Oreochromis niloticus: one gene and its partner. The protein of the gene in region 1 interacts with the protein of each later gene in a pairwise test. Links are inferred from orthologs where the notes say so. Each region holds a gene or a part of one and is shown in the gene's direction. Other genes may lie near its edges.

The links. The genes of interacting proteins can lie anywhere in the genome.
Region 2: the proteins of plxnb3 (region 1) and arhgef11 interact in a two-hybrid assay, tested with the Homo sapiens proteins (2 studies listed by BioGRID and IntAct). The link is inferred for Oreochromis niloticus from reciprocal best matches to the Homo sapiens genes PLXNB3 and ARHGEF11.

What each region holds. Positions count from the first base shown.
Region 1 is NC_031984.2:5,162,960-5,166,714, forward strand, and holds the start of plxnb3 (plexin-B1), read left to right. Parts: upstream 1-796; 5' UTR 797-948; intron 949-3,755. UniProt on the Homo sapiens protein: Receptor for SEMA5A that plays a role in axon guidance, invasive growth and cell migration. Stimulates neurite outgrowth and mediates Ca(2+)/Mg(2+)-dependent cell aggregation.
Region 2 is NC_031967.2:26,816,815-26,820,569, reverse strand, and holds the start of arhgef11 (rho guanine nucleotide exchange factor 11), read left to right. Parts: upstream 1-906; 5' UTR 907-2,635; coding exon 2,636-2,670; intron 2,671-3,117; coding exon 3,118-3,150; intron 3,151-3,755. UniProt on the Homo sapiens protein: May play a role in the regulation of RhoA GTPase by guanine nucleotide-binding alpha-12 (GNA12) and alpha-13 (GNA13). Acts as guanine nucleotide exchange factor (GEF) for RhoA GTPase and may act as GTPase-activating protein (GAP) for GNA12 and GNA13.

The sequences.
Region 1 (3,755 bases):
TGAACGCATCACATGGATGAGGACTAGAAAAGGTGCTGAGGGTGTATCCTGTTCGTAGGATGTCATTAGCTTCTGATTACTGAGCGAGTATGTGCATGCCGTCGCTGGAAACGATGCCGGGCTTATTTAAAAGGAACTCATTCAACAGAAATACGCGCTAACATGCCTGTGAGACTCAGCTGCGTTCCGGACCTTTAACCCCTGCCAGCCCGTGGTTTAAAAGCACTCCTACCTCTGCCCAGTTTCACCAGTTTAATCCCCGTTGGCTTTTCACATTAAGAGTTTCGCTAATAAAACACATGTAGTCCACTGTGGTTTAGAAAACTGTACTGGTGGTTTACGGAGACTCTGACTATTTAACCACATGACTATTTAAATAAACGTCACACGGATACAAACTGTAGCATCATATTCGAGAATTTACTGTTAGGGATGCGTCTGTACTATACTAACTACACGTTTACTTGTTAGTACTGTTAATAGAACAAAAGTATCTGGATACATCCTCATCCGCTAAAAACCCCACATTGTAATATTAATAATAAGACTTTACGGGTCAGGTTATTTAAACGTGGATTTAATTGGCCCATCTTAAGTATCAGAGGTAAAAGTCGCCTATTTTATTCATATAACTTTTTTTTTCTCATATTAAACCCATGCATGAAGTATTTCACTTTCAGAGGATCAATAATCTGACTGACACTGAGTGTTGACTGGACAGATGGGATCGATAGCTTTTAATTATTAAAACCTCTGGATTTCTAAGCCAGGCTTCGCGGTGGGTTTTAGGCTGTGGACCTTGGAGCGCAGCGGGGCGGGGTCTCTGTCAAACCTGTTGTGCGTCTCTCCGCGCGGACTGTGCGGATCCGGGTGTCTGCTGGGGTCTTTTGGAAGTTTCTCGGGCTACTCTGACGCTGGGAGGACGGCACAGCAGCCTGGCGAGCTCAGGTGAGTCGGACCCGGACCTCATCGGCCCCCCTTGTCACGGCTCTGAGTTGTCCCGCTGCTGCAGGAAGGAAAAGGCGTGAGAGTCAGGCGTGTCTGCCTGACACACGCCAGACTCCATTCGGGAATGTAGTAGTTTTAGATGTTGCCGGTTTTCCGTTAGGCTTTGTAGCTGAGAGAGGCAGCTGCCGATGGTTTTAGAACCGGGAGGAGATGCTCTTTGACTCCGCTCAGAAACATTGATAATATGACCAGCACCAGGTCATGTTCCCCGGGTTAAATTTACAGAGCCGTGAAATATAGAGCGGCTCAGACTCTGGACTGGGAGTTTAAAAGTGGACATTCCTGTCACGGGGTCTGGCCGGCGGTCTGAGTGAAGCCGGTTTAAGAGTAGGAGTGATAAATGTGGTGCTAGGTTCAGTTTGTAAGTCTGCCTCCTCACTGAGTGCTTCTGTGTGTGTCCGTGTCGGCCGTTTCCAGCCTGCCCTGGCACGGCATGGCACGGCACGGCCGCAGCAGCCACTGAATAGCTGGCATTCCAACAGACACACACACTCTCACACTCTGTGCTGCTGTTATGGCTGGAGTGAGTTTAGAAGTCACCTTTGCAGACTTGCATAAGGGAAGTGAGCATCACGAATAACATAAACAAAAAACAATACAGACCCCCCCGCCCCCTCCCTCCAACCATCCCCTCCCTCCCCATCCTCCCCTCTCCTCCCCCTCTCCTCCTCCTACACAAACACACAGAAAGTTGCTGGACCTGCTCTTTGTTCCAGTTTGAATTAATGTGGTCAGTTTTTCTAGGGAAACTGGGCAGGGCCGCTGATATTTTCTGTTTGGGCCCTCAGGGCCCCTTAAGCTCCTGGATACCACATGACTCCAGGCTGATGCAGATCTGCTGGTCCTGATTCAGTTTTTAAAGTTGCACTGTGTTACCCTTCCACAGATCCCGCTCAGGCTTTAACTGCTGCTTTGTTGGTGTATCAGACTTCCTGTCTGTGGTTGCAGCATGTTGGCTCCTGCTGAATGTAGCCTATAGAACAGTAAAGTTGTTGGGACTCCTTCCAGAGGCAGAAGTGGCGCTCTGGTTTAATTTGCAGTGACAATCCGGTTGATGGTGCTGAAGGAGATTATCGGTCTGAGTCTGTGGTTTGCTGACAAAGTGGGAAAAAGAGCAGAATGCTCCTTTATTTTGTAATTTTTATGAACAGCTGAATGTTTTTTGTTCAAACTCTTGATGTTCTGCATGAAGGTTTGAATGACTGAACACAATACATGGAAAAGTGGGGAAAATGGTTTGTTCAGATACTTAGTTCCTGCTTTTAAAGACAGAAAGAAACTGTGTTTAAATCTGGATTCCAGTGCTCAGTTAACCTGCTTCAGTTTACCCACTCTTCTTCCAGACATCTTGCTATCGTGGGAATGTTTCCAGTCACTTAAGCTCACCAGCCACTTTATTAGGTACACCTGTTCAATTGCTTGTTAGCACAAATATCTAATGGGGCAACCACATGGCAGCAGCTCAATGCATTTAGGCATGTAGACCTCGTCAAGCTGACCTACTCATCAGAATGAGGAAGAACAGTGATGGCTGTTGGTGTCAGAGGGTCTATCCGAGTATTTCAGAAAATGATCATCTGCTGGGATTTTCCCAAACATGCATCTCCAGGCTTTACAGAAAATGGTCTGTAAAAGGGAAAATACCCTGTGGGCTGCATCTCTCTGCGTTAAAATGATGTGTTGACAGGCTGCTTTGAGGCGATAAGAAAGCGGCGGTTACTTAAATAACCACCCATTGCTGCCAAGGTATGCAGAAGAGCATCTCTGAACGGCCAACACGTTGAACCTTGAAGCAGGGTTACAGAAGCAGAAGACCGCACTGGGTCGACAGAAAACTGAGGCTGCAGCTCCCTCAGGCTCACCAAAACTGGGCAGGAGAAGTCTGGAAAGAGTCTGGTCAGTCTCAATTTCTGCTGCATCATTCACATGATGGGGACAGACTTTAAACAGCATGAAAGCATGAATCCATCCTGCTTTGTATGAACAGTTCAGGCTGCTGGTGCTGAAATGGTGTGGAGCATATTTTCTTTGCACACTTTGGGCACCTTAGTACCGACCGAGCATCTTTTAACCATCACAGCCTGCCTGAGTGTTGTTACTGAGCATGTCCATACCTTTCTGACCTCAGTGTACCCATCCTCTGATGGCTGCTGCCAATTTTTAATGGTCACCAGGACATGAAAGCTGCAGCTGAAATATAAAAGAATCTGCCTAAAAAGTTAGACTTTTCCTCAACATTAAGTTTTAAAAACCTTCCTTTTCCTCTCAGAAGATTTACTCGTACCTCCATCTGTGCTGCTTTTCATTTGAACACCACGTCCTTCTTATAATTCTGGTTTAAATGATTTTCCCGTTGGATTTCTAATTGTACACACTCCAGGTTTCATTTATACAAAACCTCGTTCTTTTAGAGAAAAACAGAAAAAAAAATTCACAGAGACTTTGAAAAAAATCCAAACATGAATTTTGATTATCAATTAAATTATTTCAGTTTAACTCACAAGTAAAACTATGTTATTCCTCCACCTCCTTTCTTTTAAAAGAACAGGAGCTGCCCACATGCTGCATAAGTAAGACCATAAGATTATAATACAACAACAAAAAGAATCAAATGCATAAAAACAGTCCAAATAATGAAAGAAATATCATAACCAATGTTTAATAATCTTGATAATTTACAGTAAAGGTGATTCACACGTAGATGAAATAAATAGAAACGGATGAAAATCAATTAACAGATTTAAAAT
Region 2 (3,755 bases), on another chromosome or scaffold:
AGCATAGCATGCCAAAACAACCAGACATCTGTACAGTTTCTTTCCATAGGCCACACTCTGATGAACACTTAGGTCACTCACATATTGTCTACTACTAAAATATCCAGCGTGCCTGCTACTGAACCAAAGCATGCTGTATTGTTTTGTTTCTAACTTAGCTATGTAAAAAACCAGTGTGCACATATACTCAACCAATAAAGGTGATTCTGATTTTGAGTTGAATCAGATTTCTGGTTATTATGTCAACATTTTTATTTCGATTGGCTCAGTATTTAGACTTACTGTCTTGAAATTTCAAGTAACTTCTAAATAAGTCAAAATTTAAAGATACAGTTTTTTTGGACACAATAATCTGACATTTTAATATGATAGCTCAGAATTTTGAGTTATTATGTTAGAAATTGAAGAAACATCTGAGTAACATTTAAAGAGCTTTCTTTTACATAATAACTCAACATTTTGAAATAGTATGTCAAACATTCGAGTTAGTTATCTCAAAATTTCAAGTTACCTAACTCAAAATTTTGAGTTACTAAGTGAGTGGTAATGGTAATTTGGAGTTATTAACTAATTTTGTGATATGAACCCAATACTTTGACTTGCTCATATGAAAAAAAAATCTTCATAGAAAGAAATATAAGAAAATATTTAAAAATATATTTTCCATAATTTTTTAATAAGATGCTATTAATTCTTTATGGAAATATGTTTCATAAAAAATCTGTGGCAAAAACAAGCTGGAGTGTTTGTGACACAGATTGATGGAAAAATAAATATTTATGTCAATGATTTAAAAATATATTTTTATAAAAAAAAAAAAATCTTTCCATGAACGGATGCAATTCCAACTTATCCTGTCTGGTTACAGTCCGGTTGTAGTACGCAACCCTGACCAAACGAGGGCGCTGTTTACGCTCTGTGTGCTCTGTCTACGTCGTGTGATCCTTGAGGATATGGTGGTGGATCAGGAGCCAGTCAAGACAGCAAGATAACAGCACAACATACAGCTCTATGTGAAGGACTTTGACTGGAGAGGAGATAAACATATACCACGACGATTAGGAATTAAATCCGGGTTCTTGTGGCAGATCACGAGAGAAGAGCAGATCCTGCTGTATCCGCTGTGTTTTTGGAAAGGAGACCTGAGGTGGAGCTCTTACTGGAATCGCTTTGCCTTTTGGCTAGCTAGCTAATATGCAACTCTGCGTGTGAATTTGCATGAAAACAAGACTGGTGGATATAACAACCCGGGCCTTGCATGGACTCCAGTTTCCCCTCTTACTGTGATATCCACCTGCTCGCATGCAGCTAAAGTCATGCTGGTCTTTCGTCTTGCAGACATAGCCGGTTAGCAGACTAGCTCGGAGGCTCGGCAGGTGAAAGCCGGGCACGCAGCGCTTCGGTTCGCCGTGAGATATAACGCCATGCCGCAGGTTGAAAGAGGCCGATTCGTCGAGCTGACTTCACCGAGCTAACGCTAGCTGGAATTAGCAGGCCTCTTTACGAACCTGTTATCATCTCCAAGTCAGCTAATTGCTAAAAGCCACAGGTGAAAGGCGAGGAGCACCTTTCGCTTTCTTTCTTTGCTGTGCTTATTTGATTATAAGCTCCAACTGCAGGGTTAGCCAATGCCAAGTAATCTGCTAATTGGCTAGCTCTTTAGTTAGACAGTAGCGTTATTGCAAAGCCATTTGTAGCGACTGGTTTTGTTGTTGTTTACACTGTTAAGAAAAACAGACTGTTTTCTGTAGCTTACAGCTAGCTCGGAGGAGTGATAATGCTGTTTGTAAACGTATATATATTTTTGCTTAACTAATGCATGCTGTTGATACTTGTGTATTGAGTAATTTGCACTAGATAGCCACATACACATCACTACAGATCATATTATATTCACTTTGTGGTGGCTTTCCTATTTTTAAGCATTATCAGCAAGCTGAATGAGCAGTGCTGATTTGAATGGGATTATTTAGGCTGGGATCTCTGCTGAAGCCTCCACATGTAAACAAGTCTGAGTCAAGTGAGTGTCAGGTTCGCATTAGTATTTCTTTTAATTGCACGTAATCAACGAATATCCAGTTAATCCTCTGAATATTATGTTTAGGCAGTTGCTTTAAATCTGACACAGACACTTAAAAAAAACAAAAAACAACAACAAAAAAACCCCAACATGGGATGTTGTTGACCTCCTGGAGCATAGCCAGACATATCAGCCCATTCATTCATGATTGATGACCTTTGTGGAAGTAGGTTGTCCTTTATCCATTTGCCACTACTGCGAAATCTCAGCACCAAGCTACCAACGATCTGTATTTAATTTTAACCACTAATGTAAAGGAGTGAAGACAAACCTTGGGAGATTTGAGCGTTTATAGTTTTAGCAGCACTTTCCTTTAAATCCTACTGAGCCTAAAACTGGAGCCACTGGTGTGAAACATGAAGAGCACTGTGTCTGATCTAAACCCGCAGCCCTGTAGCGTGGAGATCTGATCAAAGCGCAACAGAAAGGCTCCTCATTGTACGGACTGAAAGTTGAAGAGGAAACGGAGATCATGGTGGTGATAACAAAAGCAGCCCAGTGACAGCTTTGAATCCCGCACCAGGAAGCAGAGGAGTGTCTATAAAGGCTGCAGACATGAGTCTCCGCCAACCCACCTCCACGCTGGACAGGTAGGAGCCTCACATCCGCTACACCCAGACAGTTTATGTGGGTAAAGGTACGGCTCTTTACGCCTCGCTCCAAAAAATGTGGTATTCCCAGGTGAGCATTGTTTTTATCTGACGGATGCTCAGTGAGGCCACTGGAAGAACAGCTCAGACGGCTTGTTGACTTCAGAAAAAAAGCAAAAGATTGCACAATAATGTTCATTTATGTCATTCAATCTGCATCTCCTCTAATAAAACACTGGATGTAGTGCACCTGTCTTGTTTGTTAATACCGTTCGTCACCACTTTCACCATATATCCCTGCACTGTGCGATCGTCTGTGTGATGCATATTTGTTGTTTATCATGTGTCTTTCCTCTTTCTCCTGCTGTATACTTTTTTTTCCCCCCCCATTTGCACGTGCCCATTACCTCCCACTGCTGTGTCTCTGTGTGTGTCATGTGACGGCAGGGCAGCCAATAAGACAGACAACCAACTGTTCAGGTAGGACAGCTGCCCTGTGGTCACTCATGTCAGGGTTTGGGGGTTAGTGAAGCCTACAGATTGTACAGCTGTGGCAGCAGATTTCTCAGCGTTTCGCTGCTTGTTGTTTCATTTCTTTGGAGACGTTAGGAACCCAACATACAAGAAAAAAAATTAATAAAAAAAATTTTGTGACCTCGTTACGTGCACCTGCTGGGGTGCATGACCCATACACGAACACTTAATTTTAAGTGATAAAGAAGCTCTTTGAAATCTTTACCTAAAATACTGCAGGTTTGTCAAAGTGGCTTCTGTACCACACTGGAAGTATAGCTCTGTGCTATGCCTATGTCATAACAGCTAACCCTAATGATACCCCTCAATCTAACCTACAGCTCCAATGTTCATGACCCTGGGAATATAACTACATGTCACCATCGACAGGTTTAAATGCTGGCAATGGTGTAGGCTATGTTGTAGGTGCTATGTATGTTAATTGCAGAAGTCTCAATCAAACATCAGAAATTGAGAGGGTTCCTACTCCTAATGTGTCAAGTGTGGAGCGAACTTGAATAACTGGGTAGCTATAAAGCCTTGATTATACTCAGACAGCTGGAGACACCACA